Linked DNA regions of Struthio camelus. The protein of the gene in region 3 purifies or fractionates together with the protein of the main gene of each other region. This does not show direct contact. Links are inferred from orthologs where the notes say so. Each region holds a gene or a part of one and is shown on either strand. Other genes may lie near its edges.

The links. Proteins that work in one complex are often made in the same cells at the same time.
Region 1: the proteins of SNRNP70 (region 3) and SNRPD1 purify together in Homo sapiens (affinity purification with mass spectrometry; 6 studies listed by BioGRID and IntAct, counting the BioPlex papers as one, with this or other methods). This does not show direct contact. The link is inferred for Struthio camelus from reciprocal best matches to the Homo sapiens genes SNRNP70 and SNRPD1.
Region 2: the proteins of SNRNP70 (region 3) and MRPS9 purify together in Homo sapiens (affinity purification with mass spectrometry; 3 studies listed by BioGRID and IntAct, counting the BioPlex papers as one, with this or other methods). This does not show direct contact. The link is inferred for Struthio camelus from reciprocal best matches to the Homo sapiens genes SNRNP70 and MRPS9.

The regions. Positions count from the first base shown.
Region 1 is NC_090943.1:50,583,768-50,593,822, reverse strand, and holds the start of SNRPD1 (small nuclear ribonucleoprotein Sm D1), read left to right. Parts: upstream 1-4,985; 5' UTR 4,986-5,210; coding exon 5,211-5,224; intron 5,225-5,801; coding exon 5,802-5,878; intron 5,879-8,872; coding exon 8,873-9,064; intron 9,065-10,055. Other genes in the region: SACM1L (phosphatidylinositol-3-phosphatase SAC1), read left to right, coding at 595-652, 1,424-1,560. UniProt on the Homo sapiens protein: Plays a role in pre-mRNA splicing as a core component of the spliceosomal U1, U2, U4 and U5 small nuclear ribonucleoproteins (snRNPs), the building blocks of the spliceosome.
Region 2 is NC_090942.1:154,008,761-154,019,335, reverse strand, and holds the start of MRPS9 (small ribosomal subunit protein uS9m), read right to left. Parts: upstream 5,071-10,575; 5' UTR 5,022-5,070; coding exon 4,938-5,021; intron 3,103-4,937; coding exon 3,055-3,102; intron 1-3,054.
Region 3 is NW_027182627.1:6,793-17,018, reverse strand, and holds the start of SNRNP70 (U1 small nuclear ribonucleoprotein 70 kDa), read left to right. Parts: upstream 1-4,188; 5' UTR 4,189-4,312; intron 4,313-5,159; 5' UTR 5,160-5,170; coding exon 5,171-5,317; intron 5,318-5,414; coding exon 5,415-5,477; intron 5,478-6,549; coding exon 6,550-6,604; intron 6,605-6,706; coding exon 6,707-6,771; intron 6,772-6,859; coding exon 6,860-6,922; intron 6,923-8,310; coding exon 8,311-8,392; intron 8,393-10,226. UniProt on the Homo sapiens protein: Component of the spliceosomal U1 snRNP, which is essential for recognition of the pre-mRNA 5' splice-site and the subsequent assembly of the spliceosome. SNRNP70 binds to the loop I region of U1-snRNA.

The sequences.
Region 1 (10,055 bases), on a different chromosome or scaffold from region 3:
TAGTAATGGAGCGTCCCTATAATCCGGTTATGTTTCTATGATACCCGCTTATAGGACTAAACCCAGACTGTTCCCTTGACAGAAAATGGAGTGTCCTTGAGGTATTGAAAAACTGCTTGCTTTTTTTAAATCTGCTTCATCAAGTGGAAAGGGAGAAATTCTGCAGGAGGAAACAGTTGTTGATGGGGACTAGTAGAAGAAGCTTGTGAAGATCTCATCTTCTACTTCATACAGAAGCGTAGAGTGTAACATGAAGAAATCTTAATTTTTTTGCCGTCCTCCCCCGTGTATATCATGTAGTGAAATGGGGTGGGGATATTAGAGGTTGAATTGGTGGTTCATGTATTTATATTTAAAAAAAAAAAGTTCACCCCTCTTCTAATATAATAGAAGATACATTTTTAGTTCTGAACTTATTATTGAACACACCTTTACAAGTTTTAAGTCATCCAAAATTTTACACTTGTACTTCAATAATTGAAGTAACCTTATTGCAAGACAAGTAAATAGCTTTGCAGCACAACCAATCTTAAAGGATATTAAGTAATACATGTTCTATTATATCATGTAATTATTCTTTTTCTCTTTCTTCAGTTACCGATTATTATGGTGGTTGCTTTCTCTATGTGCATTATTTGTTTGCTAATGGCTGGTAAGTCACTATTTAGTTTGACTTCACAAAATTAGCTTGCTTGTATATTGTTTTTTGTTTGTTTCTTTTAATAAATGGGTGTTAGAAACTATTTAGTATATATTTGCTTGCCTCTCAGTCATACTAAAAGGTCTCCAAGCATGGCTCTGGAGACTGAGGGTCAGCACTACGTCATTAATGTGAAAAACCTGAGGTACTATAGAAAATGAAGCTAAAATTAGTAGAAGTAATTTAGGTGTCATTTAATTGCCCCAACATTTAGTCGGTTGCACTTCAGTTGGATGTCTGGCTTTGCTATAGGCTGGATGAATCCCTTCACAAATACCTACCTAATTCTGAGCAGAAAGTCAATCCAGATAAGGCAGATGTTGGTGTAAGCTTGGTCTGAAAGAAGCCCCCCTTGATCTAAATCCATGTGACAAATTGTGGAGTTCTCGCCTTTTGCCTTTGCCTTGAATTTTATAACATGAGTGCCAATGGAGTACTTGACTCCGTGACCTCTGTAGCTGTGTTTAAAGTGCTGTTGGAGTTGTGTGTGGCAAACAGCAGAATGCTAGCTTAAGAACAAATAATTGTGGCTTGTCAACCTCTAGGAGAGGAGGTATGACATAGTATAACAAAAGACCCTAGTACCTGTGGACGTGCTTTCAACTTCAACGTTTGATGGCAGATCTCTGTGGGAGGGCTTGGGCAACTATTTTGCTTTTGTATTAAAATACTCTTATAGGTAATGAGAGATAATGACATGAAGTGTTTATCGACTCTCAACAGGTGATACATGGACTGAGACATTGGCCTATGTACTGTTCTGGGGAAGTGCAAGCTTTGGAACTTTTGCTATCATCCTTTACAACGGCAAGGATTTTGTAGATGCACCCAAACTGGTCCAGAAAGAGAAGATGGACTGAATTTGTGTGTGTGGAAAGCGGCTTGGTACAGAGGATTCCTCAAGCCACACCTGGAGTCTCTACTGACCTGCTTTCCACACCAAATAGTGGTCTTTTTAACGTTCATCCTTGGCAGCACGGGGAGAAAGTGAATCGTCGTCTTTCGTGGTAGCTTTCAGCTGAGATCTGACTCTACAGTCTTGGTTGCAGTGATCTTTGGAATGTTGCATTAGTGGAGGAGGCTCCACCCTTACCAAGATAATTCAAAGATGAAAGCCAGCTTTGTGGCGTCTGGAGTGTTACAAGATATAAATGGACTGCGTAAGTTCGCAGTCCACCTGGGTAGTCTCATCTGAATTTTTGATCTCTGGTTTGACAGGAGAGAGCCCTCATTCTGTTCATGTGTCAACCTATCCAGGTGTTGGAGTATTATTAATAGAGGGGTCTAATCATGTTCTTTGAGCAATATGGCTTAATAGCAGTAACTTGTTCTTAGATTTACAGCTGGATTACATTTGTTAAAGTCCACGTTAAGGAGTCTTTTTGTGCATATTTATGTATTTTTCACTAAACATAAAGGATTGTTGAATCCTAATGCTTCTCCTCTAAAATAAGCTTTGCACCCTGTCTTATCTAGGACTGATGCAATATTCTACTAATCATTGTTTGGGTGAAAGGACAGTGTATTTGGATGCTTCTGAAATTGCAAATGTCTTGCACTGTTTCAATACTGCAGTCTTTAGATGATGATTCATTAGTTAGTGAGTTAAAATATATAACCTTCTTTCTAAAGACGTAAATGAAATCAAAGAATGTAGACTCCTCTGCAGTGTTTATTGAACCCTCCTTATGCTAAAGGTCCAAAGTACACCATTATTTTAAGAACGGTCACAAGATTAAAAAAAATGAACTTCATATTATTTTGCTAGTCAGCTGCTTCTATATTTTTTGGTTATGTTAGAATAATTTATGGAAGAAGGAGTAACAACCTGAGGAGAAAAGCGTTAGGCAAAACCCCATGTTTGCACTTGGGAGCAACAGCTTGCTTTTCGTGCATGATGTTGTAACACACTCTTAAAAACAAAAACAAGAAACTAAGCTACAAAATAACTTGTGCTGGTTAACCATGAATGTGTGTCTTTAAACTTAGTGCTTCCAAGCTGTATAAAAATAAGTAATCCTAATCAAGGACCAATTTTAAACTATTTTGTCACTTATTTTATATGGTTTGTTCAAAACCAGACGTGAAACTTGCTTTGGGCGCTGTGCATTGTTTAATATTTCCTGTAAGTACAGCTGTATATTCGGATTGCGGTTATAAAGCTTAAATGGGGAGAAGGGAGAAACATGTAGAATACTAGGGCTAGCACAGTTCTCACTGTTGAAGCGAGAACACAAAACACTGATACTGCAGTGTTTCATTGTGTTATGACTGAAAATATGTACAGATTTTTGCAATTGTTAACTGTTCATTTTAACCTTGAATGTTTCTGGAGGCCTCTCTGGGTTTTGTTTAAAGGTAATCTGTTCATAAGCACTAGTAATTGCAAAGTATCTGTTTGCTTTTAGATGCTGTAATGGAAATACCAGTTGAGACAGTTAACTGGAAAATCCTCTAACTTAAAATTTTCAAACATGAACTCCATAATGGATATAAAGTATAAGAACATCATAGACTATCTAAAAGTACTGTTTTGGGGGGTTTGGGTATTTTTTCTTTTTTAAATGGCTCACTGGCAGGTGGCATTTGAAACTTGGTTCAGTTGTCTTGCAGTCTGTAACTAGATATCTGCGTCTTCGGTGAAGAACCCGTTGCAACAAAGACCAAACTTGAATTGCTAGTATAAACACGTTGTAAGACATAGACTAACGTAGGTTTTCAAAGTTGGAGGGCATCTGTATTTCAGTGCTTTGCAAAGAGTCTGTATTTCTAAAGTCACAAATGGTGTACTCATAAATGACAATAAAATGTCCAACTTTTCTATATACTGTCAGTTGTGTTTTGTGCTTTGAGTGGACTTTTTCCAAATGGTTCAAGGTCTTTTTCCACCAGAAAGATGCTTCCGATTTGTTGCGGTTCATAGCAGGTAAATATCCTGCTGTTTCTGTGCTTAAATATTGACGATCTTGCACTGAGCACCAAGCATTTTCATTAGCATCGTGTTCTGCTCTTCCGTGCCAATTCTGGATCTTACATTTCTGAGAACTGTTACGGGTGGATTTTTCTTGAGATTAAGCGCAAGCCTCACCTCTTCTCAGTGTTCAAGGCTCTCGTACTTTCCCAACACTAGTTTGGTGGGTTGTTTTGTTGTATTGGGTTGTTTTTTTTTTTGTGTGGACAATAATAGCCCCTCAAAGTGAAAATTCAAGTCACTATCCTTTTTCCTTCCCTCACTGCAGATAGGCATGAGGGTTTTTTTTTTTAAGTCTGTTTTTTCATGCTTGTGTTGCAGTTTGCTAGAGCAACCCGCTGGCCTGTTGGAAACAGTCAAATGCACTTGTCTAAATGCAGAGGTTCTGAACAAGCTGTTTCTGAATGACTAATGAAATAATAGTTTGAGTGTAGTGTTGACATTTTAAATAGGATCAAGCTTCACTAGATGACTAGGTGTGCACAATCATATAAGATGATTGCTAGTAAAATTGTATACTGGTATAACAAAATTGGTCCTGAAGCCATTAGTTGAAAGAACTTGTTTTTTTTTCTTTTTAAACTTTGTCATCTTTTGTGGGGGGAGAGGGGTAGACTTTTAAGTTTAGAGCAGCTTTACTGGGAAGCAACTTGGGAAAATACTGAAATAATTGCCTGAAAGGTAAGGCAAATGTAGTGGCAGAGCTCCGTGCCCTACAAGTAGGGTTGGTTGGCCCAGAACAAAATGTGAAGTTCAGCAGCATTTGTTTGTGAATCTACTTCCATCTGGCTCTTTTTTTTTTTTAAATCTAATTCTTTTTTTCTTCATATTTACACTCTTGTTTCTTGTTTCTTTTCTCCCCCTGTCATTAAACTGTTAGGCAAAAAAGGAAAATCAAGAAAAGGAAAGAAACGGCCCTTGCTCTTTCCTGGCTTCCCTGTGGTGAAATCCTACCACCCAGCATAACCTTCCCTTGCCCCCCAGCTGCTCCTTAGGGCCTGCGTCATATAATGTTGCATAAACAGTCACTTTATGGGAGCAAACACTTTATATAAAAATGTATTTTTACCTCAACCCTCAGGTTTTTGCTGAGGGTGGTGTGTGTGTGATTTTTTTTTTTTTTTAATATCGTGGCAGTGGGTACTGCATAGAGGGAAAAATCTCGAGCTGTGCTTCGAGCCCTGTTACCGGCTGGTTTGGAAAAGACTGTTATCCTGGCCTCTTTTAATGTTACAAAAATAATAATCATTATTTAAGCCCGCCCGCCCGCTCCCTGCCTTCGCGCCCCTGCGCACTGCGCATGCGCTGACCCCCCTCCCCCGCTGGGGGATGGGGCGGGGCCGCCCCTTCCGGCGCCTGCGCGGCGCCGCTTCCGCTCATTCATTCTCCTCGGCGGCTGCCGCTTCCTGGCGCCAGTGGCGGCGCGGCCTGCTCGCAGCAGCCTCCGCCGCGCCCGCCGCCCGGGCCCTCCCGCCCAGGGCCTCTCCTCTGCCCCGCGCGGCGGCCGCCGCTGCGTGCTGAAGGCGCCGCCCGGCCGCCATGAAGCTCGTCAGGTGAGCGGATGGAGGCGGATGGAGGCGGCCGGGCCTGGCGGCGGAGGCGGGGAAGCGGCCGCGCTCGCGCCGGGCCGCGCTAACGGTCGCCGCGCTAACGGTCGCCTCGCGGGCGCCCCTCCCCCCGCCGGGCGGCGGCTCCGCCGTGACCTGAATGCCGGGGGTGGGGTGGGGGGAGGCTGGAGTGCTCAGAAAGCCCTGATTTTTGGGGGGGAAAGCCAGAAATTATTTTCTGGCGGTACTGAGAAGCGCTGAAACGTTTCCTTCTTTGTTCCGGATAAGCGCAGTATCCGGGGCAGGGTGCTGAAGTCGGTAGCAGCTGTGCGGTGTCCCGGCTCCTCCCGGTCGGGTAGGGGTCGCGCCTCGTCTGGTTTCTTGTGTCTTGCGCTCGTGCAGTGCCTTAATAAACGTTTTCGGTAGAACCCGCGAGATCTGGAAGCGTTTTCTTGGTAAACGTGAGAGGTGTGGGCCCTGACGTGCATCAGTGTTCTCTAGTAGAGAATGTTATGTGATAACCCATGTTGGCTTTATGTGGGAGTAACAAAAAAACAAAAAAAATACCTTTTTTAATTTCTAGGTTTCTCATGAAACTCAGTCATGAGACTGTGACCATTGAGCTGAAGAATGGGACGCAGGTGCATGGAACTATCACAGGTATGACATGGTGGTAAAGACTAGAGCAAAATACCGGCTGTTCCTTTTCTGCGCATAATTGGCAATTGTGGTTTGGCTTGGGCTTTTTTGTTTTGTACTCTTTCTTATGATGACCCTCTAGTTCGTATCCTTTTACGAGTATCAAGTGTGTTTTTTGCAGAAGAGTCTGGGCGTTTGCAGGAGCTACTAAAAATACAGTGAAGAGCTTTGACCAGTCGGCTTACCACACACCACCATCATCTTTGGCCTGGTATCAGGGCCAGTTCACCTGCAGTCAAACTTACAAACTATATCAACAGCGTAATATGCCATCTGTTCATAAGCACTGCTGGGAGATAGTGGATTGATTGTAGTACTTATTGGGAGCCTCCAAGTCGGATGGTCCTGTGGGCTCTGCTTACAAGTAGGCTTAGGGGAAAACGAAGTAAACCTACGCAGACTGTTTTGTGGAGCAAATCTGATGCAAGAATGATCTAGTCTTAGAATTTTAGCAGCATGATAATGTTGGTGAGCTAATTCTAGCTCCCTATCAAACTGGTATACTATAGCCATGTAAGAACTTTATAGTAGAGCCACCAGCAGAGGATTTCTTTGTGTCTGTAGTAGGTAAATGGCAAATGTTAAGCATTCACGTAGTCTTCAGTCAGTCCAAGTACGCTGTAGATGATTTTAATCTAGAAGGAAATTATTTATTTTGAGTGTAGCTTTGCTCTGTTTAAGGTGACTTTATATAGGAATGCATCTTTAGGTACGCTTGCATTAATTTCCTGAAACTGATTTGAAAACGCACAGCTTGATGAGGGATACAGGGCAGAGAGGAATCCTGGTGTAAAGAATCTGGTTCGTAGCTGTTGCCAATGATTTATCATGTAATAATCTAAGTTTGTGAACGTTAATGTCCAGGGAGGGGTAAATCTATAAAACGTGCTAGTTTATAAAATGAATGCGTTCCTTTATGTCACCGAACTGAAAGTTGTGGGGTAAGCCTTTCAAACTCAGCTTCCTATATATTTAAAAACGCATGGACTGTTTTGTTTTTTTCATAATGTCAGAGACTGGTGTTGCTCTGAGAATATTTGTGTTAGAATTACTTCAGAGGCAATCAGGTCTATGGGGTGTGCTGTTGTTAAAGCAAACCCTTGCGGATAAGTTGAGGAACGTTCTTGGTCTCCTTTGCACCCTAGACTGCTTTTAGAAGCTCTTCTGCCCTGACGTTATTTGTAGCAAAGTTCACGCTTGGCAGAGCTGTATTCCTGGCGATTGCTGAAGTTCCTTTTTGGTCAGTAGCAATGTGCTGAAGTTTGGCAGGGTTAAAATCTGTTGAACGTGGCATTATTCTGCTGCCAGGTCTATCAGCTTTGATTAGCACCTGAATGTACCATCTTGATACTCTGATTGCAGCATGCTCTATTGAACCCGACTAGGTGGGAAATGAAGAACGTCTCCGTCTGACCTTGGTGCTCTTGCAGGCTTAGTTATTGAGCAAAGCCTTGTGTCATGCTAAGAATCTGTAAAAACTTGGAATGGAACCCATGTTTCTAAAATGACACTCTTCCCTTTACACTGCTGCATGAGCCACGTTAATATTTGCTGTGACATCTGCAAAATGTAGTATCTCCTGGTGTATCAGGAGATGCTTGGCCAGAGCAAGCATGCTGAAGGGGCGAGCTTTATGCTACGCATACGTTACACAAATAAGGGGACAGGTCAGGTGGATTACAGATGTTGGAGAACTGTTTTATTTAAGTAAAATCTAGGATTGGGGTGGGGGGATGGAAGAAATACTTGGAGGTCACAAGTGCATTTTTTGTGAACTTTGGAGCTCTGCTAAGCTCCTTTGGTGATTAGGCTGAATTCATAAAATTATGAAACCATTTAAAGGCATAAGCACAGAACAGTGGTCCTATTTCTGGTCTGCTACTCGTTTACATTATTTGCCTTGATGAAGCACTTGTCTTTCAGTTTTATCTTTCCATATTTTTGAAATGAGACAATAGTTGCTTTTACCTCACAGAGCTGTTTGTTCACACACTTTGAATACATTAAAATTTTGCTCATGTGGGGTGCCTTGTCACTGAATTAGCGGATTTTTTGTAAATTATAATTTCTACCTTTTGTCTGAATTTTCTGTTCTGAAAAAATTACTCTCATTTTGATCTTAATTAGAGATCTAATTAAGATCTCTCTTTGATTGTAGTTAGAGATCAAATCCCATGCAAGGCTTCTGATGTGCAAAACCAAAATTAATGTAGGAATTGAGCGATGGTGCTTCTTACGGCTGTTACTCAGTAGATGCACCCAACTGAGATTTTTTTTCAGTTTTGGATGATGCATGTTACTGTGGATACAGTACCGGTTCCATGGGAGAGCAAACAATTATTGTACGTCAGCTCTTCAGCACTGAGTTAGTAACCACAGTGCTTTTCCCTTACCATCGTGTATTTTACATACTTTTAAAGAAGACAGTACACAAGTATAAGATGTATTTTATCAGAAAATGAATGATGCTTTGACAGCTGGACTTCTTTCAAAGCTTACAGAAAGAGGAAATGATCAGTTTCTTCCTCGTCAGAGGTTTTTTTGCCTTTTTTAAAGTAAAAAGGCTAATATTAGACTTCTGTAATACGTGGTAGTTTGTTTATTGCGCAAAGGAACCATTTTAATCATTTACAAAACTGCTATGCCTGTCTTAAATCTAGATAAAGATTTCTAATGATATTGTACAGATAGCAGTAAATGGTTCTTCCATCAAAAAATGTGCGGTGAGTTGTTGAGGACAGCTACTCGTAAATGAGCCAGCATAATTTAAGAGACAAAAGACATGTGTTTACATTCACTTGGATGCTTAATTAGTGAATGGCATAGATCCAGAAGTGAGTGTTAATGAACAGCATACATCTAGAAGCAGGTATATACTTTAAAAAACAGCTAGTTGTACCAAGAGCGATCATCTTGTATACTTTCATCCCTGAAATGAGACTTTTATTGTTTCAGGAGTGGATGTCAGTATGAATACGCATCTCAAAGCGGTGAAAATGACGCTGAAGAACAGAGAGCCTGTACAGCTGGAGACCCTGAGTATTCGAGGGAATAACATTCGCTACTTCATTCTGCCAGACAGTTTGCCTCTGGATACCTTGCTAGTGGATGTTGAACCAAAAGTCAAATCCAAGAAAAGAGAAGCAGGTTAGTTTGTGATTCCCTAGTCTCCTTTGTTTGTTCCGCGCTACACAACAGTGGTTTTGGCTGGCTTCGGGTTAGCGTATGCGTTTTAGTACTTTGACTCTGCAGTCATCCTGTAAAACATCTAATTAGAATATTTTAATTTCTGCATTTGGCAGCTAGTTCTTTCATCTTTATTTGATGGTTTGATATGGATGCTGCTAAGTCTGCTTTCTTAGCATCTATAAAATTTCCTTTTGTGTGAAATGATGTATATAGCTCATCATATGTCTGCATTTAAAAAAAAAAAAAAAAAAGGCAAATATTTTTAAGCTTGAGGAAATCTTAATCTATCACATTTTCAGAGGTGGCACCAAAAAGACTTGCGTTTCCTCCTCTCAAAATATCTGCTACATTTCTCTACTTTTGTATGGGGAACTTCATATAGCTTAATAAGAAAGTACCAAATGGCACCTTGAACAGTGCTGGTTGCTTAGTTGAAATATTGCTTGGTAAGTGGATAAAAATAAACTGCAGGATAACTGAATTTGAGGGAATTGAGAATCGCAGCAAGTCTACGCTATATTCCTATGAGTAGTTTTCCAGCATTCCACTGTATGTGGTCTTCCTGGGAATTGTATTTAGTTTTTCTCCAAAGGCTGTTGACCAAAACCCTTTCCTTACAAACATAAGTGTGGAGAATACTTCAGTTTTAAATCCACACTATTAAAACTTAACATACAATAAACCCCACAAAATCTGTAGATGTGTGTTTAGGCAGTATAAATTTTGCACAATGCTTGATCTTGGTGTTTTTAAAATTTTTTTTTTTTTTAAGTGAAAGCTAATTAAGCTCTAAAATAATGTCTTCTGATTTCTCCTGTAATGAATGTTTGGGTATTTGTATTTGGATCTGCAGTCTTTGACCCATGTGTACGTTACAATTTGGTCAGAGGTAGTGTGTTTGTCTTACTGAAATGGTATGAGGCACCTTCAGGTCTGTGCTTTCCAAAGT
Region 2 (10,575 bases), on a different chromosome or scaffold from region 3:
TAGCATTTGCCTGTGCTGCAGGATAGGTCCCATGAATTCAATCAGGCTTGATACAGAAGGTAAAGTAATCTTTGAGTAACAAGGCTACACACGTTGAAAAGAAGCAAAAACCCATCCACACTTTTATAACCTAAAACAGATGAAAATATGCCACCCCCCACAAGATAGAAAATTAAGTAATACCTCTGCCAAAAAAGTTTTAAAGACAGCTCTGGAATTTAGTGCTCAAGATCCTGGTGTTGCTTTGTTTGCTCCACAGCTTATACATACTCTGTGCAATGCTAACCCTAGTTTGCTCCTTTTTCTTACTTTTGTTTTCTCTGTGAGCTTATAGTTACATAAAAGGAAAAAAAAAAAAGGCAAAATCTTAAAACTGCACAGTTTCTACCAGTAAATCTCTACTGATTCCCTTAGAGTAAGGTATCTCTACATATTCCCTGTTCTTCTCTCCTAGATACTCTCCAGGAAAAGAGAATCATCTTCTGTCTTACTTGTCTTAATTGCAACTAATTACTTGTAATTCTTGTTAATGAACATATGATTCCTTATTACTTGGCCCAAAATTGCTTTCTCTCTACTATGCTTTAAGCAGGATACTTTAAAAAGACTGCTTTCAGCTTATTGTTGTCAATTTCTATTGTAATTTTCTCATTTTTGTCCTCCTTCCCTCAAGCTATTCATATTCTTCCCTAGTTTCAATTCACCACTAATCAAAAGTCCCTGGACACACAAACTGTTCATAACTAGAAAACAGCCTCTTATGCAAATTAACATCTATTGTATTGGGTACCTCTTCTGGGATAAAGGTACTATTTCATGGGTGGTATGGGCAAGAACTGCAAAGCAGAGCCAAATGCTTCTGGCATTTCGGTTGAACAAGAAAGTGCGCTCCTCTACTTTCCAGAGGAAACCACAGAGGTTTGCACTTACTTACTACACATTTCATGAAGCATTATTGCAGACAGCAGCCCCTCCATTTTTTAAACAATAATGGAGATTAACAGTATTCCTGAAATAATACTGTTCCACTAGCATGGGGGAGAAGGGAAAGCCTTACTTCTGGCTAGAATTCCCAAGTATTAAACACTTCCTCCCATTACTTAGTAATAAAACAATTTGGCAAAGCCCGATTTTCCGACATTTATAGAAAATCAGCTTCTGTAAAAAATTGCGTCAGAAAGACTAGCTGCTTTCAGACAATATCAAGTTTTTTTCCCAAGAAGAGAAATACTTAGGACCTGTTTGCTTACTCCTGTCACAATAATGTTGCTTTAGTAGGGTGAAATGGGTGCAAAACCAATGCATATCACTAATAACAAAGAATCGATCTTCCTGTACTTTTGGATTGGGAAGAAAAGGGAAACAAAGACGGGGAAGACTCAAGGTCAAGACACATAGCTACCAAAAGAGATGGGAGTACACGTCAACTTATGTGGCATGTGTATATATAAATATAAATATATATATATATCTGTAGATCTTTTCACACTGCTTCCATGCTCTAAGCTTAGTAGACTTCAACCAACTCCTTCTCCAAAACCATGCAGCACACAACTAGATGTGTGCTAAGAAGTTATCTTTGTGATAGTACTTAATCAGCAGACGCAGAGCTGTATGTAGAACCACACCAGCGCGGAACTAGAGATGCCTTGCGTCCCTCAGCTTAGATTACGAACGCAGCTAGTGCTGCAGAACTAGGCAGACAAACAGCAGTCCTTTGGTCATTCACTATACAAGAAAAAACATATACGTTATGCAAATATCATACAGAACATAAATGCTCAGAACAATCCTGAGTTTCTAAAAAAACAGACTGTTCAAACTTCCTAAACTTTTGTCTTTCTAAAGTACTGTTTTTAAAAGTGTTTTAATTAACTTAAATACAATATTTACATGATCTCAGTTTTCAGCTGGCCTATGAATTAATTAGGTGGATCAATATCAGGGTTATGTTTTAATAAGCATACTGTAAAACACAACAGAAAGTATCACGAGGTGTCAAAAAATAAGGTAAGTGATTTTCTGTTACTTTTCCTATCAGATATGCCAAAGTATTTCATTAGAAGGAACTTTTACTCAAATTGAACGATTTCCTGAGAGGTAATTGCAAAGCTAGTATTCTCCCACACAGAAAGTCTACTTTCCGTGCACACTGAACCAAACCCAATATTTCAGGTTTCGTTTATACTGTATGCTATGGAAATATGAGATAGCTCTAAACACAGAGACACATTTCAAGCATCAGGCTTGCATAATGGGGAATAGGATTTAGATCTGGTTGTTTTGAGGCACAAGTTATGAAATACTAACAGGCTTTTCAACTCTAGTTTAGTTACCAACGGCAAAAAAGCTACTTCCAAGCATATAGTTGTGGTATACCGGTGGTATACTGTCAGCAGTGACAAGTGGTACTACCCTTCTGATCTCAGCACATATACCATCCACAGTGATTTAGATAAGGGAGCAGACCCAGCCAAATGCAATAGCTCAGCAGAAGATTTCAGAGAACCATATGAGAAGAATGCTACGCAATCACAACACAAATGACAGACAGTAACCGAGTTAGATCATTTATTTTCTTTATAAATTGGGCTAGATGTCTAATTGTGCTTTGCTTATTAGAAGGATAGGACACAAGACCTATTGTTTAGTCGTAGCTGAGGAAACTGAATTACAGAGTTTCTCTTCCATTTCCTCTCTCAATACAAGAAGTTTTCAAACACAGGAAAAGTCAACAAGAAATTAAACTATTTTCCACATTAAGATGGATGAGAAGTAATGAGTTAAATTCCAGCAAGGGATATTTAGGATACGCATCATAAAGAAGGACAGGTAGGCACTTAACATAAGCAATGGTCACAGCAGGTCAAAGAGGTGTGTCAGCTTAGTACCTTGTCCTCAACAACAGCCACAAAGACAGGACAAACAAGTAGCGATGTTTATCCAGGACACTTCCCTGGTCTCCAACAATCTTCAGTTCAAAGACATGCTGGTATCTTTTAATTTAGGAGTCCTCAATTGAATTTTATTGAGTTTGATTTTTTTTGTACTCACATAAGTGATTGGCATCCACAACATCCTTACAACAGTTCCACAGGTCAACTGCATTTCACATGAAAAAAATATCTGTCAGTTTCCTGGGCCCTGCCTCCCATTAGTTCCTTTCATATCTTTAATTCACAGACCGTACAAAATAGGAAGATTCATACATAGCTACAGGCTTAAGTATAGATCCTGCCTTTTGGGGATGGAAGAAGCAGACGAATGATCTCTCAAGGCCTCTTCGAGACCTGCTTTGATACTGTTTCCTCAATTATGATAGAAAAAGATTTCAGCTCAAATTCAAGCAGGGGTCTGACCAGGAAAACTAAGTTACTGCCATAATCCTATCTTTGATAGAGGATAACCAAAGCCAAACAAGATGCTTAAATTGAAAACTACATCAAGCATTACATTTTCAACCTTATTCTCTTTTTCATTCCTCATACAACTTCAGCATGTGAATTTCTGACGGCTGCATAAGAAACTACTCACATGGACACCAGGTCTTTATCCTGAATGGGTTAAATCTAATATTAGAGGAGAAAAGGAGGAAAAAAAAAAGTAAATAGTTCAATTTGCTCCTTCCAGTATTACCTTTCGCATACCTAACAGACCTATCTTCTGTTACCCCATAGTCAGTCACTGAAAAGTTCTTCAGCCCTTACTATCCTAAATTTCCTTGTAACTTCAAAATGTTACCAGCTTGCCTTTATATCCATTTTTTGATCACTGAATTAAATATATATAGGTATATCAAATACCACAGACACAATTATCACTTCAACACTGACAGCAGTTAAGCTATTTAATGAATTGGTACTCTGTTGAGGACTGGTGTCTCTCAAAATAAGCAGATAATTCTCTTCAGTGAGAAACTGCTGCATCTGTGCAAAACATTTCTCTCTCCATTGCAGGAATCAGGAAATTGCATTATCTAGCTATCTGCTGACCAAACACGATTCAAGACAGTCAACCTTAAAAATTATTGTTTATTCAGGAAAATCAAAAGTACTTTTACACATGTTTAGGGCCTTGCTCTATACATTAGCTTTCCTAATTCTAGTAACATACATAAAAACAGGCCCTAACTACATAGAAATATTAAGAAAAAATAAGTAGGTTAACTGTAGGACTGACTTTAAAGTGGCTGGCTTAAAGCTGTGCTAAACACTTACATGTGTATTTACAGTATGTCTTTTCTTCCCAGTAAATACATTTCATGAGTTACTGGGAGGTGAAAGCACACAAGTTTTAGTTTGGCCCGCTCTTACTGAGACACAAACGCCTCACTTTGGTGCGAGAAGCAAGCATATGGGCAGACAGCTATAGCAGGCCAGCAACCACACTGTAAATCCTCGCACCCATTAAACCAACGCAAATTCTGTGCACGCTCCTAACTGTTTAAACCCCGTTTACACCAACCGCCCATGCCCTACAATGCCACCGCTGAACCAAGCCACGCAGAGACAGAGAGCAGTACAAAAACTCGGCACCACTGCGGACCGACAGCTGCCCCACTGGGAGGGGGCACTCCGAGAGAAGAGCGGTGTCACCCCGTCTAGGGGAACACCCCCCCACCCCACCCCACCGTGCCCGCCAGGCGCTCGGCGCTGCCGCCCCGCCCCCGCCCAGCCGCGCCGGGGACGCGAACCCGCGGCGGCGCCTCGCCAGGCCGCTCCCGCCCGGCCCGCGCCCGCCGCACCGGGCTCGCCTCCCCCCGCTTCGTCTCGGCAGCCCTGCCCTCATCCCCGTGTGAAGGGGAGAGCGAGCTGCCGCAGCCCGGGCCCAACAAGCCAGCTCCCCACCCCCGCCAGGGCCCGGAGCGGGGGCAGACAGCACGAAGGAGCCGGTTTCTCGAAGTAGGGCCCAGGTGCTCGGCCCGGCCCGCCTCTCACCTGCGCGCGCGGCCCGTCCCGCGCCGCCGCGCTCCAACGGCCGCCCAGACGCAGCACGCGCCCAACGGCCGCTACCGTCGCCATGCCCGCGGCACCCCGCGCAGGCCGCCGGGGAGAAGGCACAGCGCCGCAGCCGTCGGCGACGGGCCTGAGCGCCGCTGATTGGCTGGGGGGCGGGGCCTGCCGCGCGCCTGCGCGCTGTGGCGGGTGGGTGTCTTCCGTGCTGTGCCGCGGCAGAGCGGCCGTTAACGGCAGGAGTTTGTCGTGCTGTGTCCCAGCACCTCGGGGCCGCTCCTGAGCGCGGCTGAGGGTTGCCGCCATGCGGCCCGACCCCATCTGGGGCGAGGGTGGAGGGCCGTGCTGAGCTCGGCGGCGGTCCTGGCCCTATAGCGCCTCAGTCAGTGCCAGTGGCTATTTTCGCTCCGTAAACGACGGCAGAGCCCGCTCAATTTTGTAACCCGCGTTTAGATTTTAAGGTGAAGGCCAGGGGCTTGCGCGGGCGTGCAGGTGCCGCCCCTAGTGTGCTGACATTCCAACCATAGAGGGCTTCATTTGCTTTCAGTCTCAGCGAAGGGGGAGATAGCGGTTTTTTTTCTTTTTAAAAAAATTACCCTGTTGAAGGTGATACCGAGTGTAGTTACTTAAAGCAGTGGTAAAACAGGTGGTGTAGTTAACTTCCATTCTCCAAACAAAAATGATAAACTGTGTTTTTCTAGTTTTAAGGCCCCGGAACTAGATTTTTACCTAGGCTCTTGTTTTTGTTGAATATTTGGCTTATGCATATCTATGTATTGAAACTTGAAATGTATTTGACAAGTAAAGCACATTAGCATTGTTAGAACTCTGCCTGGTCTTTAAAATTATGGTGTGTTATTTGTATTATGGTAGGACTGGGGACCAAATCAGCAGTAGCCGTCAGGCATACTTACATAAAATTGACTCTGCCCCAGTGAACTTCCAGTCTAAGGAATAAAGCTAAAAAGAAGGTGTCTTTTTAAAGTCGGTAGTGTTGTCAATTGTAGCATACCTGGTGCAAACCTGCTACTCTTGAGAGTTGAAGCACAAAGTATATTTCAGCCTAGCCTTGCTTTTTTTTTTTTTTTTTCCATATACAAATACATATTCTGTTAATCACAGTTGTCTCTTGCCAAATTGGGTTTTGGGATCAATACTGTTGCCTCCCAAGGTGACGTTAATCTACATCCTGAACCTTCAGGATTTGAGACGGTTTATTGTTTCACAGAGTTATGTAGTATATACCTTTACAGGTGATCAGATTTTGGCAATAGTATTTTATATCACAAAAAAGTGTCTGGAAATGAACTAAAACTTTCTTTTCTTTTTAAAGTTTGTTCTACTTCAGACTTATCAGGCCATATCTTTAGGAGCACTTGTTATTTGACAGGAAATTCTGCAGATGAATCTCTTGCTTTTCCACTTTGTTTTTTTCAGCCTGTTCACTGGTGGCTCTTGCTTCCTTCCATTCAACTGTGAGTATGATTTCCTTCCTAGGATGTAAAAGAAGGTATAAGAAAACCAGAAATGGACAAGGGAATCCACCCATGCGGGGAGGTCAAGGAAAAGCTGTCTGGAAAGCCCTGTTTATGGTCACCAACTGTGAAAATGAAACCATCAGTATTTTTATTGACATGGATACAAATCAGTGAATGGTATGAATTCTGCACTGAGTGAAAGAGGCAAAATAGCTCTGTTTTATGCTCACCTGACCAAGGACTGGGAATTGTCGCCATATTTCCATTAACACACTGTGTAGCGATTGTGTTTGGTTAGCAGCTGTTTCTTCCAAAAGGGGAGAAAAGGAGGTTAGGTTAGGGTTAACAGTCCCGGTGACCCACCTCCTGGAGTAGCCGGCAGAGCTGAAGGGGTACAGAAAGCTGTGGATAGCACAGCCTTTTCAAGGACTGTGGTGAGTCTACCATCTGTTGCCTCATTGCTTGGCTTTGTTCAGCAGCTGAGGAGTTCCTCAGTCCTCACTATGCTAAGCAATTGTTACCTGTTACTACTGGCAGCAATATAGAAACAATGTGCCATGGGAATTAACTGTTTTCTTTCTCCAGACATGATAAGCTGTTAATTAAATTTGAGTAGCAGGGCCACCTTATACATGCATTGGCCACAGGTGTTTCGAAACCACTTGATATAAATCCAACTCCCCGCATTCCCTAAGACTCCATCTACACCAGTGGCCACTGTGAAATAAAACTAAATGTTACTGTAGTCTAGACCACATTTTCAATGATGTTTGGAGTCTATATACAGCCAATGGTTTCAGTATGAAATAATATGAATAATACAAATATTTTATGAATATAAAATTGTCCTTAAAAATTGCTGAATGAAAGGAGACCTCAGTATATCTGGAGTCTAGTGTTCAATGATAATGGCCATATTTTGTCTTTTCTGAATCTTTAGAGTGATTAGTTCTTATAAATTTATGGCTACCCATTCAAGATGAAAGATTTTGATAGAAGTTTCCTACAAATCCTTGGATTCAGGTACATTTCCCAACCATCCTGCTGCTGTCAAGAAGTTTACGTGGGTAATACTTGGCCCTGGAAGATTTCTTCTACAGCAATGCCTGGTTTACCAGTTTCTAGATTGGGCATATAGCTAAATACAGCTGAGTGTAGTTATTCTTTGGCATGCTTTGATGAAAATGTGCTGTCATGTTATTGACAGTGTATGTCTGGAACACACTGTTAGTGTGTTCCAGAAGGATTCTTTCTAGTGGAAGAATTGCCACTCCTGCAGGAATGAGTCTGTGTTTGCAAATTAGAAATCACTTTTTAGCACAAGCCAGGCTAAGATAAAAGTGCATGGAAGTTATTTACATGCTCAAGCCCCTGCTTCCCCAGCCCTCTCTCAGAAGTTTATTAAGGCAGAGGGAGGGAGAAAATACAGAAAAACCATGTCTAATCTACTTATCCCAAGATTAATTCCAAACGCTTCTCTTTCCATCTCTGTATTTAGTTGACAGACTGTAGATGCTTACCTAATCCATGCAAACTATCTTGATACTTGGCTTAGCCCTCTGCACATCATTAGCCTCCTGCGTGGCAGGAATATCCTTTTGAACCTAGCTGGGCAATGTTCAACTCCTGGAACTCGTTCATGTTGTGAACCTTATTACCCACATAGTCATGTAACTTGCTAATCGTACTCTACACAGTCACATAACTGGGAGCTGCTGCCTGCAGCACGTTGCTGGCTTTTATTTTTAGACTAGATAACGAGCACATCATTTGGGGTAATAAGAGCTTTGGAGTGCTATCTTTCAAGGACGGTTTGACACTAAGAAAACTGGTGCTTCTGTGTGCTGGCCATGAGAAATTTGAAATAAAAAATCACTAAATACATAAAAGGAAACCAGGATGAGCTTGGCATGTGCATGGGTAAGGGGATAGCCTGAGGAGGATGTCCGTAGTTATATGCTGAGCGCAAACTCAGGGCTGTGCTTCAGTTCAAATTTGCCGACTGCTCACATTGCCAGCCTACGTGTAGGCCGTCTTGGAGTGAGCTTCGGGGAGTCGTTTCGTAGTCAGAGGTAGTATTTGTAGATTTGTAGCCTGAGTTCTGGTGACTGATATAGCTAGTGTGAATACCACTTACTTGAGGAACAGGTATCCCTGTAGCAGTGACAGAGATGTATGGAGCAGGGTCAAAAAGCGTACTGAGTTTCAGCTTATGGCAGCATAAATGCAGCCCTGATATTACAAGAATGGCAGTGCTGGGTTAGACCAAAGCTCTGTTGAGCCTCTTGGCTTGAGTGTAGCAATGGGCAATATCAGATACTTATGGAAGAGCAAAGAGGCAGAACAGATATATGGAGATGCTTCCCTGATACCATCTTCTGATCTGTGATGACCTGAAGGTGGGGAGAAAAGGGGAAGCTTTCATAGAGGATGTAGCAGGATCTGCTGTCGTGCAATGGAGTAAGCTAACCTGCAGCAGAGAGAAAGGGACTCCAGAAGACAGAAAAATGTAATAGGAGAATTAAAACTTCTCGAGATAACATAATCTAAATCAGTTTGGAAAGAAATGTCTACATTTTGGGGGGCTTTTCCTTCAAGAGTATACTTTGTTTTGAATTCTGAATTAAAGTTGTTGTGGTCACAAACTATTTTGCATTCTTATGCCTTTCTTCCTTACTGAGTGTTTTGGCTGGAGTTCTGGAACGTGTACTGAAATGGACACCAGTTGCTGGTGCTTTTCCAGGGACTGAGCAGTTGGAGTGCAGGTACAGAAAGGTGCTATGCAGAGCATCTACGTTGTGAGGGTATTCCTGGCCAGCCAGAGGCAGTGTCTGGGTTCTCTTTAGACCCAAGGAAGTTTAGAAACACCTAAGTTCTGGAGCAAGGTGGCTTTGACAGAAACCTTTTCTGTTTCAGAAGCTAATTTTTTTTTTTTTAAGCATACTAAAAATGCAGAGAATTCACCAGTATTTTAATTCTCTTCCCATTCTAGATATTTTAAGGTATGTGTGTGCTTTTTGACATAGGAATTGTTTTGCAAAGATTTTTTTCATTGGTTTGAGGCTACTGTATCCAGAAGTTATGCAAGCTTCTATGTAAAGTTCTATTCTTAAATGCAAACACATTAATGTTATTAAAAAAAAAAACTAGTAATAAGACAACTGTCTTGTATCTTACTTTCTTCAGATGTGGGCCAAGTGCATTCCGTTTTGTACACTGCATAGACTAAAAGCGCATCTACCTGAAAGTTGTCAATTATGCTATAAGAGGCACAGCACTTAGTGGGCTGTCAGTCAAGACTGTTGTGAGAGAGTTTTCAAGAATCATTATTCCAACAGTATTTATCAAATATAAAAATAAATGTATATGAAAACACCAAATGTAGATGGATCATATTTCATTTTATAATTAAGGTGCTTTGGAAGGCACTGAAACAGTAAAGGTGAGTCAAACAGCCAGACATCTTTGCTTGCAAAGCAGTGCCCTCTTTTCTGTTCCTTCATACAGCTTTCCTTCTTCATGAAGGAAGGTGTTACCCAAGTCACACTGACCTCACTGTGCTTTGGATCAGAGCCCTGCATCTGTTTCATCTTTTCTTCACAGTCTGAGTGTTGGAATTTCTTTTTCCACAGCTAATACGTGTCCTTGGGCACTACAAAGCGTTTCGGGGCGTGTTCTTTTCTGCAGTGTTATCTTCCAGCTTTGCCATAATTTATGTGCTTGAGTGGCCCCCTTCGAATTTACAAACAATTATCTAAAAGAAAGAGAACTTGTATGGATGTAATTTGGACGCATCCAAAGATATTTTTGTTCCACGTGAATGCCAGAGTCAGCCCAAAGGGATCCAAGCACAGCGTCTGGGCCTATTTTTAGTTGGCAAGTACTTCTAGGCTATGTAATGTGTCTTGGTCATTTGTCTACCATAGGCTTTGCTGCCATATGTTTATTACTGATTCAGTATTTCAGTAGTAGACTCATTTGGAGCAGTAGTTTAGACTAGGGTTTGCATCATGTGTTTTGTATCACTATAATTAGACTGATGTCATTACTGATTCTAGAAGTAACTTTGAGTCCAAGGGGACATTATATTCATGGGCAACGTCTGTACTGCTGAGTAAGAGAGGCCTAAAGACTGGCCTAGCGAC
Region 3 (10,226 bases):
GGGATCTCACCTGGTGATGGGGACCCACCTGGTGATGGGGAACCTCCTGGTGATGGGGATGGGATCTCACCTGGTGATGGGGACCCACCTGGTGGTGGGGAACCTCCTGGTGATGGGGATGGGATCCCACCTGGTGGTGGGGACCCACCTGGTGGTAGTGATGGGATCTCACCTAGTGATGGGGACCCACCTGGTGATGGGGAACCTCCTGGTGATGGGGATGGGATCCCACCTGGTGGTGGGGACCCACCTGGTGGTAGTGATGGGATCTCACCTAGTGATGGGGACCCACCTGGTGATGGGGAACCTCCTGGTGATGGGGATGGGATCCCACCTGGTGGTGGGGACCCTTCCCTAGTGAGAGTAATGGGGGGACCCCACTGGTGACAGGGACCCTCCCAGGTGCCACCTTACAGCTATAGGGCACTCCCTTAAGCCCCTATGTAGAGGGACACCTGGGACCTCCTCTAAGTCCTTGGAGGTCCCAGGTGCCCCCCTACAACTATGGGTCACCCTCTTAAGTCCTTGTGGGTCCCAGGTGTCCTCCTACACCTGTGGGTCACCCCCTTAAGGCCTTGGAGGTCCCAGGTGTCCTCCTACACCCATGGGTCACCCACTAATTCCTTGGAGGTCCCAGGTGTCCTCCTACACCCGTGGGTCACCCCCTAAGTCCTTGGAGGTCCCAGGTGTCCTCCTACACCCGTGGGTCACCCCCTAAGTCCTTGGAGGTCCCAGGTGTCCTCCTACACCCGTGGGTCACCCCCTAAGTCCTTGGAGGTCCCAGGTGTCCTCCTACACCCGTGGGTCACCCCCTAAGTCCTTGGAGGTCCCAGGTGTCCTCCTACACCCGTGGGTCACCCGCTAAGTCCTTGGAGGTCCCCTGCCCCCACCACCCCCCACCGTCGTCACCGAGGGATCCCCACCGCCGCCGTCCGCCTGTCACCGTCCGCTGTCCCCGCGTCACCCAGGGGTCCCCGCCGCCGTCACCGCGCCAGCCCCGGGGAGGGGTTGTCCCCCACCGCCGCCCCCCGGGTGTCCCCCACCACCGTCCGTCCCCCCACCCCCCCCCGTCACCGGGGCGTCCCCGACCGCCGTCCCGCCGCCGGCTGTGTCCCGTAAACACCCGCCCGGCTCCGACGGTGTCGGGTTCCCCCCCCCCCCGCCACCAAAACACCCCGCGGGCTAAAAATAACGAGGTGGCGACGGCGGTTCGGGGGGGGGATGGGGAGCCCGGACGCCTGGGCCCTCTCCCGTGTCCTTCCCCCCCCCCAGCCGTGACACCCGGCCCCATAGCGGGGGTGGGGGAGGGACCCAGGCGTCCGGGCCCCGTCCGCATGGGCGTTGTCACCCGGCGCTACAGGGTGACGGGACTGTTGTTGGGGTTGCTGGGGGGGGGTTGTCACCCCGGTTGCTATGGCTGGGACAGGTCACGGGTGCTGAGGGGGGGTCGTCACCGCGGTTGCTAGGGCAAGGACAGGTCATGGTTGCTATGGTGAGAATTGTCACCCTGGTTGCTAAGACAAAGGTAGATGAGGGTTGTTGTGGGTACGTTGTCACCCTGGTTGCCGTGGGGGGGATAGCGGTTGTCACGCGGTTGCTAGGAGGTGACGGGGGGCTGTTTGCCTGGTTGCTAAGAGGTGACAGGAACAGTGTTGTGGTTGCTATGGGGGGGTCGTCACCCTGGTTGCTATGGCAGGGATAAGGTGGCTGTTGCTATGGGAGGAGGGTCGTCACCCTGGTTGCTAGGGAGGGGATGAGGTGGTCACCTCGGTTGCTATGGGGAAGGTCAGGGGTCACCACCCCGGTCGCCATGGAGGAGGGGTCAGAGGTCACCACCCCGGTCGCCATGGAGGAGGGGTCAGAGGTCACCACCCCGGTCGCCATGGAGGGGTCAGGGGTCACCACCCCGGTCGCCATGGAGGAGGGGTCAGGGGTCGCCACCCCAGTCGCCATGGAGGGGTCAGGGGTCACCACCCTGGTCACCATGGAGGAGGGGTCAGGGGTCACCACCCCGGTCGCCATGGAGGAGGGGTCAGAGGTCACCACCCCGGTCGCCATGGGGAGGGGTCAGAGGTCACCACCCCGGTCGCCATGGAGGGGTCAGAGGTCACCACCCCGGTCACCATGGAGGAGGGGTCAGAGGTCACCACCCCGGTCGCCATGGAGGAGGGGTCAGAGGTCACCACCCCGGTCGCCATGGAGGGGTCAGGGGTCGTCACCCCGGTCACCATGGAGGAGGGGTCAGAGGTCACCACCCCGGTCGCCATGGAGGAGGGGTCAGGGGTCACCACCCCGGTCGCCATGGAGGGGTCAGAGGTCACCACCCTGGTCGCCATGGGGAGGGGTCAGAGGTCACCACCCCGGTCGCCATGGAGGAGGGGTCAGGGGTCGCCACCCTGGTCGCCATGGAGGGGTCAGGGGTCGTCACCCCGGTCGCCATGGAGGGGTCAGAGGTCACCACCCCGGTCGCCATGGAGGAGGGGTCAGGGGTCACCACCCTGGTCGCCATGGAGGAGGGGTCAGAGGTCACCACCCTGGTCGCCATGGAGGAGGGGTCAGAGGTCACCACCCCGGTCGCCATGGAGGGGTCAGAGGTCACCACCCTGGTCGCCATGGGGAGGGGTCAGAGGTCACCACCCCGGTCGCCATGGAGGAGGGGTCAGGGGTCACCACCCTGGTCGCCATGGAGGAGGGGTCAGAGGTCACCACCCCGGTCGCCATGGAGGGGTCAGAGGTCACCACCCTGGTCGCCATGGGGAGGGGTCAGAGGTCACCACCCCGGTCGCCATGGAGGAGGGGTCAGGGGTCGCCACCCTGGTCGCCATGGAGGGGTCAGGGGTCGTCACCCCGGTCGCCATGGAGGGGTCAGAGGTCACCACCCCGGTCGCCATGGAGGAGGGGTCAGGGGTCACCACCCTGGTCGCCATGGAGGAGGGGTCAGAGGTCACCACCCTGGTCGCCATGGAGGAGGGGTCAGAGGTCACCACCCCGGTCGCCATGGAGGGGTCAGAGGTCACCACCCTGGTCGCCATGGAGGAGGGGTCAGGGGTCACCACCCCGGTCGCCATGGAGGAGGGGTCAGGGGTCACCACCCTGGTCGCCATGGAGGGGTCAGGGGTCGCCACCCCGGTCGCCATGGGGAGGGGTCAGGGGTCGTCACCCCGGTCGCCATGGAGGGGTCAGGGGTCGTCACCCCGGTCGCCATGGAGGAGGGGTCAGAGGTCACCACCCCAGTCACCATGGAGGAGGGGTCAGAGGTCACCACCCCGGTCGCCATGGAGGAGGGGTCAGAGGTCACCACCCCGGTCGCCATGGAGGGGTCAGAGGTCACCACCCTGGTCGCCATGGAGGAGGGGTCAGGGGTCACCACCCCGGTCGCCATGGAGGAGGGGTCAGGGGTCACCACCCTGGTCGCCATGGAGGGGTCAGGGGTCGCCACCCCGGTCGCCATGGGGAGGGGTCAGGGGTCGTCACCCCGGTCGCCATGGAGGGGTCAGGGGTCGTCACCCCGGTCGCCATGGAGGAGGGGTCAGAGGTCACCACCCCAGTCACCATGGAGGAGGGGTCAGAGGTCACCACCCCGGTCGCCATGGAGGAGGGGTCAGAGGTCACCACCCTGGTCGCCATGGGGAGGGGTCAGAGGTCACCACCCTGGTCACCATGGAGGAGGGGTCAGGGGTCGCCACCCCGGTCGCCATGGAGGGGTCAGGGGTCACCACCCTGGTCACCATGGAGGAGGGGTCAGAGGTCACCACCCCGGTCGCCATGGAGGAGGTCAGGGGTCACCACCCCAGTCGCCATGGAGGAGGTCAGAGGTCACCACCCTGGTCGCCATGGAGGAGGGGTCAGGGGTCGTCACCCCGGTCACCATGGAGGAGGGGTCAGAGGTCACCACCCCGGTCGCCATGGCGCCCCCAGGGCCCCCCCCCTCCCGCCGGTTGCTAAGGAAGGGGTCTCCCGCCCTCAGGTTGCTATGGAGGGGGGGGCGGGCCCGTCGCCTTGACAACAGCGCGGCGGCGGCGGCAGCGGCCGGGGTGGGGGGGGTGGGGACTATATTGCCGGCAGCGGCGCGGCGGAGGGATCCGCTGCCTGGCGGCGGCGGTTCCGCGTCCCCAGCGGCGCGCGCGCGCGGGCCCCGCCCCCTCCCCCCCCCCCTCCTCCGCCCACAGCCGCCGGCGCCCGCAGCGAGTCCCGGCGGCGGCGGCGCGATCCGGGGGCCGCGGTGATGCGGCCGCGCAGGCGCAGAGCGCGCGCAGCGGCCAGGCCGGAGCAGGCGGAGGGAGCGCGAGCGCCCGGGGGGCCGGTGCGGCGGGTGCGGTCACGTGGGGGGGGGATGGGGATGGGGGTGGGGGGGGCGGTGTGGGGCCGGGGCCGTGCCGGGAAGGGGGCCTGGTGTGGGGCCGGGGGGGCCGGAGGTGCGGGGAGGGGCCTGGTGGGGGGCCGGGGGGGGCTGTGTGAGGCCTGGGGGGGCTGTGTGGGGCCGGGGGGGGCTGTGGGCGTGGGGAAGAGGCCTGGTGGGGGGCCGGGGGGGGCTGTGTGGGGCCGAGGGAGCTGTAAGGGGCCGGGGGGGGGCTGTGGGTGTGGGGAAGAGGCCTGGTGTGGGGCTGGGGGGGGATGTGTGGGGCTGGGGGGGGCTGGAGGTGCAGGGAGGGGCCTGTTGTTGGGCCGGGGGGGCTGTGTGGGGCCGGGGGGGGCTGTGGGTGTGGGGAAGGGGCCTGTTGTGGGGCTGGGGGGGCCGGAGGTGCGGAGAGGGGCCTGGTGTGAGGCTGTGTGGGGCCGGGGGTGCGGGGGGGGGCCTCTATGGGGCCGGGCGGGGGGCTGTGTGGGGCTGGGGGGGCCGGGAGTGCGGGGAGGGGCCTGGTGTGGGGCTGTGTGGGGTTAGGAGTGCAGGGAGGGGCCTGGTGTGGGGCTGGGGGGGGCTCTGTGGGGCTGGTGGGACTGTGGGTGTGGGGAAGGGGCCTGTTGTTGGGCCGGGGGGGCTGTAGGTTTGGGGAAGGGCCCTGTTGTGGGGCTGTGTGGGGTTAGGAGCGCGGGGAGGAGCCTGGTGTGGGGCTGGGGGGGCTCTGTGGGGCTGGGGGTGTGGGAAAAAGGGGTCCAGGGGGGCTGCGTGGGGCTGGGGGGGGGGGCGCCACTCAGTCACAGGGTTTTTTTGCCCGCAGTCAGCCCCAAAATGACGCAGTTCCTGCCCCCCAACCTGCTGGCCCTCTTCGCCCCCCGCGACCCCATCCCCTACCTGCCCCCCCTGGAGAAGCTGCCCCACGAGAAGCACCACAACCAGCCCTACAGCGGCATCGCCCCCTACATCCGCGAGTTCGAGGTGCGCCCGGCCCCGCGGCCCCCCGCCTGGCCCCCCTATACCACCCCCTATACCACCCCCTATATCACCCCCTATATCCCCCCCCCCGTCTCCGCAGGACCCTCGCGATGCCCCGCCGCCGACCCGCGCCGAGACGCGGGAGGAGCGCATGGAGCGCAAGGTAGGTGCCGCCCGCCCCGCCGTGGGGTTTTGGGGATCCCCCCTGCCCGCCGAGGGGCTGCGGAGCACCGTCGGCCCCCCAAAATCGCGGGATTTTGGGGATTCGGGTTGGGTTTTGGGGCTGCTTCACCTCGACGTCGCTCTCTGCGTGACCTGTGTGGGTTTTGGGGCTCCCCCCGTGCCTGTCATGGGGTTTTGGGGCTCCCCCCGTGCCCGCCGTGGGGTTTTGGGGTTCCCCCCGCCCGCCAAGGGGCCGCGGAGCACCGTCGGCCCCCCAGAATCGCGGGATTTTGGGGATTCGGGTTGGATTTTGGGGCTGCTTCACCTCGACATCGCTCTCTGCGTGACTTGTGTGGGTTTTGGGGCTCCCCCCGTGCCTGTCATGGGGTTTTGGGGCTCCCCCCGTGCCCGCCGTGGGGTTTTGGGGTTCCCCCCGCCCGCCGAGGGGCTGCGGAGCACCGTCGGCCCCCCAAAATCGCGGGATTTTGGGGATTCGGGTTGGATTTTGGGGCTGCTTCACCTCGACGTCGCTCTCTGCGTGACTTGTGTGGGTTTTGGGGCTCCCCCCGTGCCTTTCGTGGGGTTTTGGGGCTCCCCCCGTGCCCGCCGTGGGGTTTTGGGGTTCCCCCCGCCCGCCGAGGGGCCGCGGAGCACCGTCGGCCCCCCAAAATCGCGGGATTTTGGGGATTCGGGTTGGGTTTTGGGGCTGCTGCTTCTTGATGTCGCTCTCTGCGTGACCTGTGTGGGTTTTGGGGCTCCCCCCGTGCCCGCCGTGGGGTTTTGGGGCTCCCCCCGTGCCCGCCGAGGGGCCGCGGAGCACCGTCGGCCCCCCGAAATCGCGGGATTTTGGGGATTCGGGTTGGATTTTGGGGCTGCTTCACCTCGACGTCGCTCTCTGCGTGACCTGTGTGGGTTTTGGGGTCCGCCGTGCCCGCCGTGGGGCTCGGCCTTGGGGTTTTGGGCTCTCCCCACCCGCCGAGGGACCCCGAAGCACCACCGACCCCCAAAATCGCGGGGTTTGGAGGCTGGCGGGCGCCGCGCTCCCCTCTCCGACCCCCTCTCGCTCCCCGCAGAGACGCGAGAAGATCGAGCGGCGGCAGCAGGAGGTGGAAAACGAACTCAAGATGTGTAAGTGGCGCCGGGACAGACGGACGCTTCCGGCTTTTCCGTCGGGGGGGGGCAACCGGGAGCCGTTTTCCGACTGTTTTCCACCCTTTTTCCTGCCCCTAGGGGACCCCCACAACGACCCCAACGCTCAGGGAGACGCCTTCAAAACCCTTTTCGTGGCCAGAGTGGTGAGTGCGGGGCTGGGGGCTGCGAGGGGGCTGGGGAGGGGGCTCCGCCGTCGCCCCCCCCCCAGCCCGCGCTCTCCCCTCCCCGCAGAACTACGACACGACGGAGTCCAAGCTGAGACGCGAGTTCGAGGTCTACGGCCCCATCAAGCGGGTGAGGGAGCCGGGGGGGGGTCCTGGGGGGGCTCTGAGGTCCTCTGTGGCTCGCTGGGGGTCCTGGGGGGCAAGCGGGTTGTTCGGGCTGGGGCAGGCGGCTCGGTGGGGGTCCTGGGGGGCAAGCGGCTGATTCGGGACCAGGGCAGGGTGCTTGGTGGGGGTCCTGGGGGGCAAGCGGCTGATTCGGGACCAGGGCAGGGGGCTCGGTGGGAGTCTTGGGGGGCAAGTGGCTGATTCAGGACCAGGGCAGGGGGCTCGGTGGGGGTCCTGGGGGGCAAGTGGCTGATTCAGGACCAGGGCAGGGGGCTCGGTGGAGGTCCTGGGGGGGCAAGCGGCTAATTCGGGACCAGGGCAGGGGGCTCGGTGGGGGTCCTGGGGGGGTAAGCGGCTGATTCGGGACCAGGGCAGGGGGCTCGGTGGGGGTCCTGGGGGGCAAGCGGCTGATTCGGGACCAGGGCAGGGGGCTCGGTGGAGGTCCTGGGGGGGCAAGCGGCTAATTCGGGACCAGGGCAGGGGGCTTAATGGGGGTCCTGGGGGGCAAGCGACTGATTCGGGACCAGGGCAGGGGGCTCGGTGGGGGTCCTGGGGGGCAAGTGGCTGATTCAGGACCAGGGCAGGGGGCTCGGTGGGAGTCCTGGGGGGCAAGCAGCTGATTCGGGACCAGGGCAGGGGGCTCGGTGGGGGTCCTGGGGGCAAATGGCTGATTTGGGACCAGGGCAGGGGGCTCGGTGGGGGTCCTGGGGGGCAAGCGGCTGATTCGGGACCAGGGCAGGGGGCTCGGTGGAGGTCCTGGGGGGGCAAGCGGCTAATTCAGGACCAGGGCAGGGGGCTTAATGGGGGTCCTGGGGGGCAAGCGACTGATTCGGGACCAGGGCAGGGGGCTCGGTGGGGGTCCTGGGGGGCAAGTGGCTGATTCAGGACCAGGGCAGGGGGCTCGGTGGGAGTCCTGGGGGGCAAGCAGCTGATTCGGGACCAGGGCAGGGGGCTCGGTGGGGGTCCTGGGGGCAAATGGCTGATTTGGGACCAGGGCAGGGGGCTCGGTGGGGGTCCTGGGGGGCAAGCGGCTGATTCGGGACCAGGGCAGGGGGCTCAGTGGGGGTCCTGGGGGGCAAGTGGCTGATTCGGGACCAGGGCAGGGGGCTCGGTGGGGGTCCTGGGGGGCAAGCGGCTGATTCGGGACCAGGGCAGGGGGCTCAGTGGGGGTCCTGGGGGGCAAGCGGCTGATTCAGGACCGGGGCAGGGGGCTCAATGGGGGTCTTGGGGGGCAAGCGGCTGATTCGGGACCGGGTCAGGGGGCTCAGTGGGGGTCCCGGCGCGGAGGTGGGTGACAAACAGCTCGCTGGGGGTCCCGGGGTAGACAGACAACCCATCCCGCCCCCCCCCCAGATTTACATGGTGTACAACAAGCGCTCCGGCAAACCCCGCGGCTACGCCTTCATCGAGTACGAGCACGAGCGGGACATGCACTGTGAGTACCCCCCCCCGGCCCCCTTCCCCCTTTTTCCGCCTTCCCCCTTTCAACCGCACCGAAAACAAACAAAAAAAACCAAACCACACATTTAAAAAAAAAAAAAAAAGGGGTGGGGAAAAAACAACCCCAAAACCCGAGACAACCGAACCAACCAAACCAAAAACCAAACCAAAACCCGCATGTTTTCACGCCTGTCGATTGCGCCGTGCGGTCCCCGGCCCTCGGGTCCCTCGAGGACCCGGCTCGGCGCCGCAGGTAAGTACGCAGCGGGCACGGCGCGGGGTGGGGGGGGGGGCCAAAAAAAAAAAAGAAATACCCCCGGCACGGCTTCATTTTTCCCCACGGTTTTTCCTTTCCTCCTGCTTTTTGTTTCGCGGCTCCGCCGAGGAGACAGGCGGGGGCGAAGCGCAGCCCCCTGCGCCCCCTTCACTCGCTTCCCCCTCTTTTATTTCTTTTCAATCGTCCTCCGGCTTTTTTTTTTTTCCCCCCTTCTCGGGGAGGGGGGGGCCCGAAGCGCCTCCGGCCGGCGGGGCTGCTTTTTTTTTCCCCCACTATATTTAAAAAAAAAAAAAAGCAGGGTTATGGTATATAGCGAGATATATGTGTTTTGAAAGGAGCGGCGCTCTCGGGGACGCCTGTCGCGGGCGGCGTGTATTAACTCTGTGTTCTTGTTGTCACTGCAGCCACCTTTCTGATGGCTATTGCCACTGCTGGCTTGCAGCTGATCCTTATGCTTCCCCCTTACAACACCTCAGTGTATGGTTGGTATAAGGGTTTGTATGCTTGGTAAGACTACACCGTTCCCCACCCTACCCCGTCCCCGACGAACACCGCGACGCACACCCTTCAGGCAGGTAGGGGCTCCCTTAAGCTAACCCGCCGCCGAAGGAGGGGGGGGAGCACGGAGGAAAAAGAAAAAAGGGTGTTTTTTTTTTTCGCCCCCCCCCTTCCTCGACGCCGGGACACCGCCGTCCCGACGCCGGGTGGGTGTTAAACCCTCGTTTCGGTCATCCCGGCCGCTGTTGTTTCGCGGTTCGGAGAGGTGTTTGTCCTCCCCGCCCCCCCCCCCCTCCCAGCTGGGGTTATCCCGTTTGGGAATCCCGGTGGATTCGGTACGCTGCGGGGGGTGTCTCCTTGCCCCCCCCCCCCAAAACACCCGTTCGGCGGCGTTTAGCCCCCCCCCCCACCGCTGCCACCGCACACGCGTGTGGCTGGCGTGATGCAGCCGTGTCCCCGCCGGTGCGTGTGTGTGTCCCCCCCCCCCACATCCCGCACCCTCTCGGTCTCAGTCTCTGCTGAGCCGGGGGGGCCGCGTGGCCCCCACTTTGGGGGGGGGACAGGACCGAATTGGGGGAACCCCCCCCCCCATTGCCCCCTTGGAGCTGATTTTTTGGGGGGGGGGAAGGGGGGGCAGCAAGGCAGGGCCGGCCCCCACCACCAGGTTGTTCGTTAACTCGGCTCGTTAGCACCTTCCTGTCCCCCCCCACCCCGCATGGGGTGGGGGTGTGAGCGGAGGTGACGCGTTGCCCAAAATTATTGGGGGGGGGGGGGTAGGGTGCCAACGGCGCCCCACCCCCTTTGCCCCAAAAAATACAGCCGGCCGGGGACCCCCCCCGCCCCGAGCCGGGCTGTTTGTGTAGGGCCTACAGCGTCGCGCAGCTCCCCCCCCCCCCACAACGCCGATAGCATCCTTTGGGGCGGGGGGGGTGTCGGGATTTGGGGGGGGGGCCGTGGTGGGCCCCCCCCCCCAGGGTGGGGACAACCGGCCCCCGCGGTCCCCGGTGACCGCGGGCGAGGGTGGGGGGGTTGTTGGTGGCGGTGGGGTGACGAG